Anolis sagrei: one gene and its partner. The protein of the gene in region 1 binds, or shares a complex with, the protein of each later gene. Links are inferred from orthologs where the notes say so. Each region holds a gene or a part of one and is shown in the gene's direction. Other genes may lie near its edges. The genes, in order: ROBO3 and NELL1.

What was found.
Region 2: the proteins of ROBO3 (region 1) and NELL1 are in contact, whole or in part, in a crystal structure (PDB 6POL), measured with the Homo sapiens proteins. The link is inferred for Anolis sagrei from reciprocal best matches to the Homo sapiens genes ROBO3 and NELL1. Residues at the interface, in NP_071765.2 of Homo sapiens: Ser553, Pro555, Val590, Glu592, Phe594, Pro596, Asn600, Thr601, Trp602, Thr604, Ile624, Leu626, Arg630, Gly633, Ala634, Trp635, Gly636, Leu637, Ser638, Glu639, Pro646, Val647, Arg648; in NP_006148.2 of Homo sapiens: Ala440, Lys441, Met442, His443, Tyr444, His446, Tyr458, Arg468, Val469, Asp470, Asp471, Phe472, Ser473, Asp478, Ile492, Cys493, Thr494, Asn495, Thr503, Cys504, Lys505, Pro506.

The regions. Positions count from the first base shown.
Region 1 is NC_090027.1:17,922,508-17,930,546, reverse strand, and holds the start of ROBO3 (roundabout homolog 3), read left to right. Parts: upstream 1-5,022; 5' UTR 5,023-5,081; coding exon 5,082-5,247; intron 5,248-8,039. UniProt on the Homo sapiens protein: Receptor involved in axon guidance during development. Acts as a multifunctional regulator of pathfinding that simultaneously mediates NELL2 repulsion, inhibits SLIT repulsion, and facilitates Netrin-1/NTN1 attraction.
Region 2 is NC_090021.1:264,555,740-264,562,996, reverse strand, and holds the start of NELL1 (protein kinase C-binding protein NELL1), read left to right. Parts: upstream 1-4,039; 5' UTR 4,040-4,425; coding exon 4,426-4,474; intron 4,475-7,257. UniProt on the Homo sapiens protein: Plays a role in the control of cell growth and differentiation. Promotes osteoblast cell differentiation and terminal mineralization.

The DNA.
Region 1 (8,039 bases):
AACACACAGATTAAAAAGAGAAAGAAAGAAAAACACAGATTTTGCAAACTTGGTAGTTGGCTAAATGTCCTTTGACCAGTATCTGGCCACTTGGAGTGCCTCTGGTGTTGCCACAAGAAGGTCCTCCATTGTGCATGTGGCGGGGCTCGGGGTGCATTGCAGCAGGTGGTCAGTGGTTTGTTCTTCTCCACACTCGCATGCCGAGGATTCCACCCTGTAGCCCCATTTCTTGAGGTTGGCTCTGCATCTCGTGGTGCCAGAGCACAGTCTGTTCAGCGCCTTCCAAGTCGCCCAGACTTCTGAGTGCCCAGGGGGGAGTCTCTCATCTAGTATCCCCCATGGATTGAGATGCTGGGTTTGGGCCTGCCACTTTTGGACTCTCGCTTGCTGGGGTGTTCCAGCGAGTGTCTCTGTAGATCTAAGAAAACTATGTCTTGATTTAAGTCGTTGATGTGTTGGCTGATACCCAAACAGGGGATGAGCTGGAGATGTCTCTGCCTTGGTCCTTTCACTATTGGCTGCTACTTCCCGGCGGATGTCAGTGCAATACCGGCTAAGCAGTGTAATTTCTCCAGTGGTGTAGGGCGCAGACACCCCGTGATAATGCGGCATGTCTCATTAAGAGCCACATCCACTGTTTTAGTGTGGTGAGATGTGTTCCACACTAGGCATGCATACTCAGCAGCAGAGTAGCAAAGTGCAAGGGCAGATGTCTTCACTGTGTCTGGTTGTGATCCCCAGGTTGTGCCAGTCAGCTTTCGTATGATGTTGTTTCTAGCGCCCACTTTTTGCTTGATGTTCAGGCAGTGCTTCTTGTAGGTCAGAGCACGGTCCAAAGTGACTCCCAGGTATTTGGAGCGCTGCAATGCTCCAGTGAGATTCCTTCCTAGGTAATCCTCAGAGCTCGGGATGCTTGTCTGTTCTTAAGGTGAAAGGCACATGTCTGTGTTTTAGATGGATTAGGGATCAGTTGGTTTTCCCTGTAATAGGCAGTGAGAGCACTGCCTATTACAGGGATAGTACAACTTCTCTTTAAATGTCTTCATTAACCCATTGCTTTCATTTCATCACTGCACAAGAAGCTTATGTTAAAATATAAAGGAGCTGGTCTTAAAAGTGCTGCTAGATTACTTCCTTCCTTCCCTCCCTACTACAAAAGACTGATATTCCTTCTAAAGCAGTCCAAAAGTGAGTTTCTTAGCTGATCATTCCGCATTGCAAGGAAGCCGCTATCTCTTGCAACCTGTCACATTTCTGCTGTGCTGTACAGGACTCCCTCTTCAGCCATCCCACAGCAGTGATGACATTTACGATGAAACATGGAAATGCTGACTCTGGCGCATAGCAGCAGAGGTGTGCGGCTGGGTGGACACGGACAGGGCTGCCACGCGGTTGCCACGTGCGCCATTCCTTGAGAGCAAGAACCAGGGAAGCAGCTGGGAAGCAAGAACACTGCAGCCTGCTTTCTTCCAAACCAGACTGTTTGTTCTTCAAGCCACTCTGACTGGCAGGGAAGGCACTTTCCTGGATCTTTTTAAAATTCTCATTTGAAGCTGGAGGAGTGAGAGACTGAACTTGAGGAGGTTTCTGTAGACAAAGCAGAAGTCCATTTCCCATTTTATTTCTACAGGGCTGGAATGGGGACCTTATTTTGCCTTTCAGAATGAAGGAACTGTCCAAAGTGCTGAATACATTTCCCTTCTTTAAAGTCTGGCACCTTCAAGAGCCCCTTGAAAGTACAAAAACAGTGTTTCTCAACCGTCCTAATGCCCTTTCTTCATGTTGTGGTGACCCCCAAACCATAAAATTATTTTCGTTGCTACTTCATAACTGTAATTCTACTACTGTTATGAATTGGAATGTAAATATCTGATATGCAGGATGTATTTTCATTCACTGGACCACATTTGGAACAAGTACCAGATCCACCCAAATTTGGATACTGATGGGGTTGGGGGAGGATTGACTTTGTCATTTGGGAGTTGTAGTTCCTGGGATTTATAGTTCACCTACAATCAAAGAGCATTCCGAACTTCACCAGCAGTGGAATTCAATCAAACCTGGCACACAGAACTCCCATGACCAACAGAAAATACTGAAAGGGTTTGGTAGGCATTAAGCTTGAGTTTTGGAGTTGTAGTTCACCTACATCCAGAGAGCACTGTGGACTCAAACAATTATGGATCTAGATCAAACTAGAGTTGCCCAAGGGCTGAGAAAAGTGGTATATAAATGAAGTAAATAATAAATAACCAAATGTAAACACTGATGGAATTTGGGGAAAATAGACCTTGACATTTGGGAGTTGTGGGCATTCTGAACTGCACCAATGATGGAACTGAACCAAACTTGGCACACAGAACTCCCGTGATAAAGAGAAAATACTGGAAGGGTTTGGTGAGCATCAACTTTGAGTTTGGGAGTTGTAGTTTACCTACATCCAGAGAACAGTGTGGACTCAAACAATTATGGTTCTAGATCAAACTTGGCACAAATACTCAATATAACCAAATGCGAACACTGATGGATTTTGGGGAAAATAGACCTTGACATTTGGAAGTTGTGGGTGCTGGGATTTATAGTTCACCTACAATCAAAGAGCATTCTGAACCCCACCAATGATAGAACTGGGTCAAACTTCACACACTGAGCCCCCATGACCAACAGAGAATACAGTGTTTTCTGATAATCTTTGGCGACCCTTCTGACACCCCCTTGCAACCCCCCAGGGCGTCCTGACCCCCAGGTTGAGAAACGCTGGACTAAAACCTGGAGCAGAGTTCCCAGCCCACTCGCATCAAAACTCTTTGGATACCAATGACTCTGCCTAACACTGAAGGCCATTTAGATTGAATTGCTCGTGGCCAGAGGAAGGCTGAGGACCTCTGGACTACAGGAAATGAGATTCCACCTGAACATGAGGAAAAACTTCCTGACTGTACCAGCTGTTCGGCAGTGGAACTCTCTGCCCTGGAGTGTAGTGCAGGCTTCATCTTTGGAGGCTTTGAAACAGAGGCTGGATGGCCATCTGTGGAGGGTGCTTTGAATGCAATTATCTTTTTTTAATTTAAATTTTTATTGAATTTTGTAAGTATATACATCAAAAGTGAGTAACGAAGAGTGGAATACACAAGAAATAGAAATTAAAAAAAGAGATTTTTTTTTAAAAAAATCAATTTTCCTGCTTCTTTGCAGGGGGTTGGACTGGATGGCCCACGAGGTCTTTTTCTAACTCTATGATTCTATGATTCTAAGAACTTACTGAACGTACCAGCTGTTCAGCAGTGGAACTCCCTGCCCTGGAGTGTGGCAGGGGCTCCTTCTATGGAGGCTTTTAAACAGAGGCTGGATGGTGGTGCTTTGAATGCGATTTTCCTGCTTCTTGGCAGGGAGTTGGGACTGGATAGCCCACGAGGTCTCTTCCAACTCTTATGATTCTAAGAACTTATTGACCAGCTGTACCAGCTGTTCAGCAGTGGAACACTCTGCCCTGGAGTGTAGTGAAGGCTCCATCTTTGGAGGCTTTGAAGCAGAGGCTGGATGCCCATCTGTTGGGGGTGCTTTGAATGTGATTTTCCTGCTTCTTGGCAGGGGGTTGGACTGGATGGCCCATGAAGTCTCTTCCAACTCTATGAGTCAAAGAACTTACTGACTGTACATGCTATTCAGCAGTGGAACTCTCTGCCCTGGAGTGTAGTGAAGGCTCCGTCTTTGGAGGCTTTGAAGCAGAGGCTGGATGGCCATCTGTCGGGGGTGCTTTGAATGCTTCTTGGCAGGGGGTTGGACTGGATGGCCCATGAGGTCTCTTCCAACTCTAGGATTGTATGATTCTAAGAACTTACTGACTGTATAGCTGTTCAGCAGTGGAACTCTCTGCCCCAGAGTGTGGTAGAGGCTCCTTCTATGGAGGCTTTTAAACAGAGGCTGGATGGGGGTGCTTTGAATTCGATTTTCCTGCCTTTTGGCAGGGGGTTGGACTGGATGGCCCACTCTGTGATTCTAAGAACTTGCTGACTGTACATGCTATTCAGCAGTGGAACTCTCTGCCCTGGTGTGTAGTGAAGGCTCCATCTTTGGAGGCTTTGTAGCAGAAGCTGGATGGGCAGAGCTGTTCAGCAGTGGAACACTCTGCCGTGGAGTGTAATGAAGTTTCCATCTTTGGAGGCTTTGAAGCAGAAGCTGGATGGGAAGAGCTGTTCAGCAGTGGAACTCTATGCCCTGGAGTATAGTGGAAGCTCCATCTTTGGAGGCTTTGAAGCAGAAGCTGGATGGGCAGAGCTGTTCAGCAGTGGAACTCTCTGCCCTGGAGTATAGTGGAAGCTCCATCTTTGGAGGCTTTGAAGCAGAAGCTGGATGGGAAGAGCTGTTCAGCAGTGGAACTCTCTGCCCTGGAGTGTAGTGGAAGCTCCATCTTTGGAGGCTTTGAAGCAGAAGCTGGATGGGCAGAGCTGTTAAGCAGTGGAACTCTATGCCCTGGAGTGTAGTGATGGCTCCATCTTTGGAGGCTTTGAAGCAGAGGCTGGATGCCCATCTGTTGGGGGTGCTTTGAAAGCAATTTTCCTGCAGAATGGAGTTGGGCTGGATGGCCCATGAGGTCTCTTCCAATTCTAGGATTCCATGACTGTTTCCTAAACGCGACCCTTTCTTTCCCATTCCTTTCTCCATCCTTGCCTTACTTTGGAGAGCAAAGGCGGGCAGGGGAGTGTTGTGTAAGGGGGGAGAAGGGGGTGGGAAGGGAGGGGCGCCTCTTCCCCACCCCCTCGCCCCCTCCCCACCTCTCCAGGGAGAGTTATTAATCCGATAATTAAACATTTATTGGTGGCGGCACCTGCTTTCTGCCTGGGAGGAGGGAGACCAGTCCCAAGGAGAGAAGGAAGGAAGGGAAGAAGGAGGGGAGAGGAGAGAGAGCTCTGCGAAGGCGGGCGAGCCAGGAGGTGCAGAGGAAGCTGCAGAGGCCGGCGGCGGGCACTGCTGGGGGTGGCTGCGGCTCTGCTGCTCTACTACTCTGCTTCCTCCCACTCCTCCTCTTCCTCCTCGGATGCCGGCACAGGCGGCGTCGTGGGGCCGGAGGGGCGGCCGGGATGTTGCGCTACCTGCTCCAGACGTTGCTGCAAATGAACCTTTTCGCCGACTCTCTAGCAGCCGGGGACGCCTTGGGCAACTCCTCGGAGCTCCTACTCCGCCTCAACTCCTCCTCGGACGCCGGCCTTAGCCTCCTTGACCTGGGCAACCTGACCAGCACCAACGGTGAGCATGGGGACGGGAAACAGGAGCTTCCTTTGGCTTTTGCAATGAGACCTTTCGCCTCTCTCCCCCTTCCCTTCTTCAGTCCCACTCGCATCTCAATGCACCCACTCGCATCTCAAGACAAAGAGCTCAATGCTATGGGATGCTTATCAGAGAAGTCCTTCTCTTCAAACTGCATCCACACAGCATTGAGCCAAGACAGTGGAAACAGTGTCTTTGATTCTATGATTCAGTGCCCAACTGCATTGCGAGATGTGTCCCATTCAGAGCTGAGTTTCTCTCTCCTGTTCGGAGGGATGCGTCACTTCTGTCCCTCAGGGGATCAAATGGGGGGCTTTGGGGGATTCGAGGTTCTTTGGGATTTCACTCAAAGGGGGATTGTTTCCATTAGAAGCCCTTTTCTCATCCTGGAGAGAAGTTCTGCTCCTTCCGACTCCTCTCCAGGAAACAAGCCCAAAGTTGAAAAGTGTGCCAAATTGCAATTCTGTGCTTTCCAGGAACACTTTTGCAATGAGACCATTTGCCTCTCTCTCCCTTCCCTTCTCCAATCCTACTCGCATCTCAGTGCACCCACTCGCATCTCAAGACAAAGAACTCAATGCTATGGGATGCTTATCAGAGAAGTCCTTCTCTTCAAACTGCATCCGCACAGCATTGAGGCAGGACAGTGGAAGCAGTATTCAACTGCATTGGGAGATGCGCCCCACTCAGAACTGAGTTTCTCTCTCCTGTTTGGAGGGATGCGTCACTTCTGTCCCTCTGGGGATCAAATGGGGGGCTTTGGGGGATTCGAGGTTCTTTGGGATCTCACTCAAAGGGGGGTTGTTTCCATTAGAAGCCCTTTTCTCATCCTGGAGAGAAGTTCTGCTCTTTCCGACTCCTCTCCAGGGAACAAGACTAAAGTTGAAAAGTGTGCCAAATTGCAGCTCTGTGCTTTCCAGGAACACTTTTGCAGTGAGACCATTCGCCTCTCTCTCCCTTCCCTTCTCCAGTCCCACTCGCATCTCAATGCACCCACTCGCGTCTCAAGACAAAGAGCTCAATGCTATGGGATGCTTATCAGAGAAGTCTTTCTCTTCAAACTGCATCCGCACAGCATTGAGCCAGGGCAGTGGAAGTAGTATTCAACTGCATTGGGAGATGCGCCCCATTCAGAGCTGAATTTCTTCCTCCTGTTCAGAGGGATGCGTCACTTCTGTTCCTCTGGGGCTCACATGGGGGGCTTTGGGGGATTCCAGGTTCTTTTGGATCTCACTCAAAGGGGGATTGTTTCCATTAGAAGCCCTTTTCTCATCCTGGAGAGAAGTTCTGCTCTTTCCGACTCCTCTCCAGGGAACAAGACCAAAGTTGAAAAGTGTGCCAAATTGCAACTCTGTGCTTTCCAGGAACACTTTTGATAGAAAATCACACTATGCTGTAACACAATTGTCACTCCTGGGCTGTCAGTGTCATTTCCGAATTGCTTCTGTCATAAAGAACATGGGGAAAAGTTTGTTCAACTTCCACAACTTTGTTTGTGCAGGCACATTTTGCTCTAGTTTTTCAATGTATTTATTTATGACATTTATATGCCGTCCTTCTCACCCCGAAGGGGACTCAGAACAGCTTACAAGATATATATCTTGTATATACTCTCAGTATATACACTCAGTCACCCACACTTTTTCAATGAGTTGGTGGAGTTGTTGTGTTAGCTCAGGTCCTCCCTCTTTAAAGATTTCAACAGGGATCCCATCAGGTCCGCTGGCTTTGTTATTTTTTTGTTGGCTGATAACATTGCTGACTTCTTCCAAACTAGGCAGTGCTGCAAGCTCATCCCTGGTTTGTTGTTGTGGGATTTGTGAGAGAACCTCTTCGTCCACATTGGAGCTGCGATTCAGGAGGCTTTGGCAGTGTTCTTTCCAACGTAGTGCAATAAATTTTTTGTCCTTCAGAAGTTTGGTTCCAACTGATGAGCTTAGATGTACATACAATATACTATATTATTAGCATAGCACAATATCAGTATTAAATATTACTATATTGTATTATACGATTGGGTGGCGTAATGGGTTAAATCCCTGTGCTGGCAGGACTGAAGACCGACAGGTCACAGGTTCGAATCCAGGGAGAGCGCGGATGAGCTTCTCATACGGGGACATGAAAGATGCCTCCCACAAAGGATGGTAAAACATCAAAACATCTGGCCGTCTCTTGGGCAACGTCCTTGCAGATGGCCAATTCTCTCACACCAGAAGCAACTTGCAGTTTCTCAAGTCGCTCCTGGCACGAAAAAAATAGTAATATTACATGTAATATAAATATATGATTATAATATCATATTATCATTATTAGTATTATATTGTGTAACATTATAATATTATCAATATTTTATGTATATACAATATATTATATTACATTAATGTCTCCTCCAGTCTCAACCAGTTCACCAGTGAGCTAAACCAATGTTTCTCAACCTTCCTAATGCCATAACCCCTTAATACAGTTCCTCATGTTGTGGTGACCCCCAATCTTAAAATTATTTCCTTTGCTACTTCATAACTGTAATTTTTGCTGCTGTTATGAATTGTAATGTAAATATCTGATATGCAGGATGTATATTCATTCACTGGACCAAATTTGGCACAAATACCCAATATGCCAAAATTTCAATACTGGTGGGGTTGGGGGGATTGATTTTGTTATTTGGGAGTTGTAGTTGCTGGGATTTGTAGTTCACCTACAATCAAAGAGCATTCTGAACTCCCCCAACGATGGAATTGAACCAAACTTGGCACAACAGAAAATACTGG
Region 2 (7,257 bases), on another chromosome or scaffold:
CTTCTGTTTAAAAAGTTTGAGGACCCCTGTCCTAGACCATGTGGCCGGCAAGACTGCATGGAGCGCCATTACCTTCCCGCCGGAGCAGTACCTATTGATTTGCATATTTTGAACTGCTAGGTTGGCAGAAGCCGGGGCTAACAGTGTGAGCTTACTCCATCCCATGGATTCAAACCACCAACCTTCCAATCAGCAAGGTGTCACCATCTCAGCCATCCATATGGGCAAAATGGAATTTTGAAATATTTCTGATTTTGGAATTCAAGATAAGGAATGTGCAACCTGTATTTGAACTCAGTGTACCTACCAATGCATTAACATCCATTGATTTTGATAGAATTTTACTTCTGTGCCTAGGAACATATCCCATCTCTATGTATCTTTGTTGATGATGCCTTCAAGTTTACTGACTTATGACATCCCTAAGGCAATCCTAACACAGTGTTTTTCTTGGGCTGGGAGCATGGGACTCACACAATGGCACCCAGCAAGTTTCCATGGTTGAGTGGAGGATATAATTTATTTGGTTTTATTTACTTTATTTTTACCCCAACTTTCTCCTGAAATAGGGACTCAAGGCAAACCCTCATCTCTAGAGTCATAATCTAATACTCAAACCAAACCATAGAACCATATGTATAAAAAGGTTTATTATAGCTCCTTTGCTGGCAGAGGGTTCATATCCCTTTATAATCCCAGGCTGCATACTGCAAGTCGCATCAGCAGCTTATGACACTGTAAATCATCACCTCCTCCTGAGAAAAATGTAGAATATCACAAAGGATTACCACTTCACCCACTTCATAGGAAGCCTGCTACAAAACAGGAACTTTTTTGTTGAGTTCCAGAGTCAAAGAAGCAGAAGGAGAAAACAGAAGAACAGCCTGCCTCGGGGGAGCATGCTTGCTCCATCAGTGTTCAACATTTAGACAAATAAACAGCCATTGCCGGAAAGGACAGAGAGTTTCATCTATGCTGACAATCTTGCCATCACAGCTCAAGCAGGGAGCTTTGACGTGGTTGAACGGAAGCTCTCCGAAGCTTTAGGTGTTCTAACTGCCTATTACAGAGAAAACCAGCCGCTTCCTAATCCATCTAAAGTGCAGACGTGTGTTTTTCATCTTAAGTACAGACAAGCATCTCGAGGTCTGAGGATAACCTGGGAAGGATTCCCACTGAAGCATTGCAGCATCCCAAAATAGCTAGGAGTTACTCTGGACCATGCTCTGACTTATAAGAATCACTGCTTGAATATCAAGCTAAAAGTGGGTGCTAGAAATAATATACGAAAGCTGACTGGTACAACCTGGGGATCACAACCAGATACAGTGAAGACATCTACCCTTGTGCGTTGCTGCTCTATTGCTGAGTATGCATGCCCAGTGGATGTGGCTCTTAATGAGACATGCTGCATTACCGCAGGATGTCTACGCCCAACACCACTGGAGAAATTATACTGTTTTGTCAGTATTGCACTGTGAAGTAGTAGCAGCCTACTGTCTACTATGAAGTAGTAGCAGCCAGCAATGAAAGGACCAAGGCAATGACATCACTGATCCATCCTCTGTTTTGATATCAGCCAGCATCCCAATGACTTAAATCAAGAAACAGCTTCCTAAGATCTACAGAGATATTTGCAGGAACACCTCAGCAAGTGAGAGTCCAAAAGTGGCATGCTAAAACCTGGAAACCTCAATCAGTGGCTGATACTGGATGAGAAACTCCCCCCCCCCCCCGGGCACCCAGAAGACTGGGTGACTTGGAAGGCACTGAATAGACTGTGCTCTGGTACCACGAGGTGCAGAGCGAATCTTAAGAAATGGGGCTTCAAAGTGGAGTCCATGACATGTGAGTTTGGAGAAGAGCAAACCACAGACCTCTGAGCCCTGCCACATGCACAACGGAGGACCTGCTCACAGTGAAACCAGAGGCACTTGAAGTGGCCAGCTTCTGGTCAAAGAACATTTAGCATAATGCCAAGTTTTTAACTTTGTTTGTGGCTTTTTTATACATGACTAGGCGTCCCCCGCCACACGTTGCTGTGGCTCAGTCTGGAGATCTGGAAAATAAAGTAACGAGAAAGTGTTGGTTTATAATATTGGTAATTTCTTTATGATTGTGGGTAAGTAGTATTTCTTGTTGTTTCTTTGTCAGTGTTGATGTTGTGATTGTCTGGTTTGCCTACTCTGGAACATGCCAACATATAATTGTCCTTTTTCAGGGGTCCCATTCAAATCTATGATACTATGTGTGTGTGTGTGTGCGTGTGAATCTCTCTCACACACATAGCTGGATGGCTCTTTGTCAGGAGGTCTGGATTATGTTTTCTTGCCCTGGTGAAGGGAGTTGGACTGGATGGCCTTAAGGAAGCATTTCTCAACCTGGGGGTCAGGACCCCTTGGGGTCACGAGGGGGTGTCAGAAGGGTCACCAAAGACCACCAGAAAACACAGTATTTTCTGTTGGTTATGAGAGTTCTGTGTGGGAAGTTTGGCCCAATTCTATTATTGTTGGAGTTCAGAATGCTCTTTGATTGTAGGTGAACTATAAATCCCAGTATCTACAACTCTCAAATGTCAAGGTCTATTTTCTCCAAACTCCATCTGTCTTCATATTTGGACATATAGAGTATTTGTGCCAAGTTTGGTCTTGATCCTACATTGTCTGAGCCCACAGTGCTCTCTGGATGTAGGTGAACTACAACTCCAAAACTCAAGGTCAATGCCAATCAAACCCTTCTAGTATTTTCTGTTGGTCATGGGAGTCCTGTGTGCCAAGTTTGGTTCACTTCAATCATTAGTGGAGTTCGGAATGTTCTTTGATTGTAGGTTAACTATAAATCCCAACAACTACAACTCCCAAATGACAAAATCATTTTTGAGTGATGGTTACTCCTTTGGTTAGTAGGTGTCTTGTGGCCAACTTTGGTGGCAATTCGTCCAGCGAATTTTGAGTTATGATGTCACTTAAAACGAAGAGAGCATTTTTTATAGAGATAGATAATAATAAAATAATAACTGTACTCTCAATTTGGTTTTGACACAATAAATAAATAAACAAACAAATAAATAGTCGCTGGCACACCTCAATTTCTTGAGGTGATAACCTCATTTTGTCTTAATGTATGTCCACTGCAAACTCGGTATATCCAGCAGAGTGCAGGCACATATTGGGAAGCCCCTCGGATGCCTCCCAGTGGGGCTCCCTTCCCAATCAACCTGCATATGGTCAAGATGTTGGAGTCATTGAAAGAGTGCTTAAGAGGTCCCTGTTCGGCCTGTGAATGAGTGCAAAGGAGGCACAGAAGGAGGGTCGCAAGGAGGGTCATCTGCCTTTAGGAGCGGAGCAGGGATTTCGGCAGGGACAGCCGAAGCAGCATCTCGCCACAACCAGGGCCTGGACACGCGTGATTTTTTTAATGGGGTCAATAGCTGGGCGGGTGCAAGCAACTGTTGACGTTCCACAAGGTAGTGGTTGCTACTGCGTGCTTAGCAAAACCCTGTTTGGGTCTCGGGCAGGGCCATGCCTCGAAGCCCTCCAAGCTGCCCCTTTGAGCCCCGGGGAAGTTGGGCCTGTCTAGTCGCCACAGGTTCCCCAAGGGCAGAGGAGAAGACCCCAGAACCCTGTTGCGCCCCGAAGACTGGCAGTTTTACCCCCACGCTTTGGAGCGTTGCCATTTGGGCTTGTTCAGATGCACGAGGAGGCGTCCTCTTCATTCCACAAACCCCACGGGGAGTGGGGGGGGGGGGGAAGGACATTAATTCTGGGATCCTTCAAGAACATCAAGCGGCGAGTTCTCCTTTAATCTCGGCTTCCGTCTCGTTGGAGACGGGGGCCAGCAGAAGCAGCATCCTCCAAGTTGCTCAGATCTCTGGATAGGAGCATCCTTCCTGAGCAGTTCTTCATCTCTCTTGCTCTGTCTCTCCTTTCCCACCGCCCCCTCGATTTCCCAAAGATGCCCCTGCCTCCCGCTCGGGGGAAAGGAGTGGCGGCGCTTTAGACTGATCCATTAGGCTCCAAGAGGGGGGGGGGCGCCCCTTTCTCTCCCCCCCCCCTTTCCCTACACATAGAGAGAAAGGCAGGCAGGCGGGCGAGCTGACGGTGCCGCTGTCCTTCGAGCGCGAGGAGGGGCGGCGGCGGCAGGAGCTGAACAAAGCGGAGCTGGAGGAGGAGGAGGAGACCCTCCCCTCCCCTCCCCTCCACCCATCCAGCCGCTCTTCCCGGGAGGAGGCCGCCTGAGAGCCGCGCCGGGCCGAGAGGAGAGGAGCACGTGGGCCTGGCTCTCCCCCTCCTCCTCCTCCCCCTCTCCCTCGCCCTCCCTCTCCTTCCAGGGGAGCCGCTCAAGTTGGACGGCGCTGATGCTCCAAGGAGAGCCCGGGCCAGGCTTCGACGGGGCATCGCGCCGCGCCACCGACCCACCGCCCAGATGGAGGGCATCGTCGGCGTCTGCCTCTGCCTGGCGGCGGCGAGGACAGGTGAGCCCCCAGGAGGAGGAGGAGAGGGAAGAAGGGCATCCCCGCCCGGCCTGGCCAAGGGAAGGAAGAAGGCTGGCTCTCCCAGGGGCGAAGGGGGCACTTGGGCGGGGGAGAAGGCAGAGGGGCGCCGAGGGACCCTCTTGCGAAGGAGACAATAGGTGGGCGAGGAGGAGGAGGAGGAGGAGGATGCCTTCCCCCTCCTCCTCTTTTCGCGGCGGATTTCACCGCTCCTTCTTTCTCTATTTAGAGCGGGTCCCCTTTGGCCCGCGAGTTACCCCCGAAATGGGGCTTTGCGTGCGAGGGAATGACAGTCGCCCTGGAAGAGGCGCGGAGAAAGGAGCAAGGGAGGATTTCTGGCTCCTCTAGCTCTTTATCTTGCTCTCTCTCTCTCTACCTCTATGTGTCATCTATCTATCTATCTATCTATCTATCTATCTATTCTTCTTCCCATTAGATAATCTATCTTTTCTTCTTCTTCCCGTTTGGATCTTTCTCCCATCGCTTCCTTGCCTTGCCTGACCCAGACAAATAGTCAATGATTGCTGTAAGAAGCGATTAAAAAAACACCACACGATCCCAATGGGAAGAGGAAGGATCTGGGATCAAGAAGGTCTCTCTCTCTTTCTTCCTCCTCTCTCTCTCCTCTTCTCTCTTTGGGCCCTTCCGCACAGCCCTATATCCCAGATTGTCAAGGCAGAAAATCCCACAGTATCAGCTGTGAACTGGGTTATCTGAGTCCACACTGTCATATATCCCAGTTCAAAGCAGAAAATGTGGGATTTTATTTAGCTGTGTGGAAGGGGCCCTGAAACCACACTCGGATAATGTGGGATTTCCTGCCTCGATATTTTGGGATATATAGGGCTGTGTAGAAGGGCCCTCTCTCTCTCCTTCCCCCCTCATTCTCCTCTCTCTCTCTCTCTCTCCTTTTTCTTTTGTGCCGCGTCTTGCAGGGCGGAACTCGGAAACTTTGCATTGTAATGGCAGTGGCGGCGTCTGCTGCTGCTCTCTTAGGACACTCCACCCCCCCGGCAGCCTCCCTTAGGAGGGAAGACAAGTCCTTGCTGTGCAACCCCCCTTCTTCCCAGATTCACGCCGTGCGCCCCCCCCCCTGCCCCCTCCTCCTCCTCCTCCTCCTCCTCCTCCTCCTCCTCCCATCCGACCCAGACCTGGCTTCCTTCCCCTTAAAGAAGCCTTGCTGCTCATCACCGCACGAGGCAAGCCCCGGTGAAGGGATTGATCTTCCTCTCCTGTAATAACCGCCCAAGAAAGGTGATTTCCACCTGCCAGAGGGGAGATCATTCCCTTGGAGAGGATCACAAGGATTTTGTAAAAAAATTATACATATATGATGAAATACAAAGCGCCAGGTGAATGCTCTTCTTCGGCAGAGCAGAGCGGAGTGCCTGTTTCTTAGCGTTGCACATGGGTGGCACTCTTTTATTGTCTTCCCAGCCGAGGGCATGCAGCTCGCTTGGCTTGAGACTTAAAACAGCACGCCTTTCCTGGGGGGCGAAGGGGAAAATGTAGGGCTTGGCGGGGAAAGGCACTCCAAGAGATCATGACACCAGATTCAAAGCACCTTGCTCGTTCATATTGCCTTCAAATCCCCATCAATTGCACGAGGAATCAGCTGTCAGCGCTTCTGTATTTGACAAGCAGGCTTGGTGGAGCAAGTGTTGCTCTTGCTTTTTGCATGGTTTGAGGGAGAAGCCTCTTTCTCTGTGTAGCTAGATGCCTTCTCAGTGGTCTGGGCATTGACCCTAACCCTGCCTTCCCTAGTATTATTTTAATGACCGAGGAAGCCTGTTTCCCTCTTACCTTCCACCCCTCCAAACCAGTAAGAAAAAGTTTAGGGAGCCTACCGGGCATCTTTTGTTTGTTTACAGAAGATGGAAAGGATTTGAAGTAGCAAATGAAACAGCTTACAGAAATTCTTTCACTTCAGAGACATCTCTGCCGCAGAAAGAGAAGGGGAGTACAAGCAGGGGCTGATATTTCACATTTCATTCACATGGAAGTGGGCCATCCTTCCAAGTGCTGGCATTCACAGTGATTTGCCAGAAGAATTGGCAAAGCCACCTCCAAGTGTTCTTTGCCTAGGACAACACTCTGAAATTAATGGGGTCATCATAATTTGACACGTGACTGGAAGGCACACACACAACACACACTAATGCAAAAACTAATTATATTATGAAATGCTTTTTTTGGGTGCATGCAGAGAAAACCCTCTCTCTGTGATTTAGCTGTTAATCCAGGAAACTAATATAAGGACACATTTTAATTGAGGCTTAACTGGAGCAGACTGCTTTTTAGGGCAACTGGATTGCAATGTTGAAAATGACAGGACAAATGAATAGATCATGGGAACATTTCCCAGTCCTTGCATCAAAAGAAACAGTTTTCTAGGGCTGTGTGTGCAATTGGGAACAGTCCTGAACATTGCTGTAAAATGCTGTTAAAAGTTTTTTTAATTGTATATGTAATAGAACAGTTTGAAGTTTTGGGTTGTTGTAAGTTTTCCAGGCTGTCTGGCCATGTTCCAGAAGCATTCTCTCCTGACATTTTGCCTGCATCTATAGCAGGCATCCTCAGAGGTTGTGAAGTTTTTTGGACAATCCACAGATATATAAACCCCATTTTGCTAGCTTCCAACAAATCTCACAACCTCTGAGGAAGCCTGCCATGGATCCAGGTGAAACATCAGGAGAGAATGCTTCTGGAACATGGCCAGACAGCCCAGAAAGCTCACAAGAACCCAGTGATTCCAGCCATAAAAG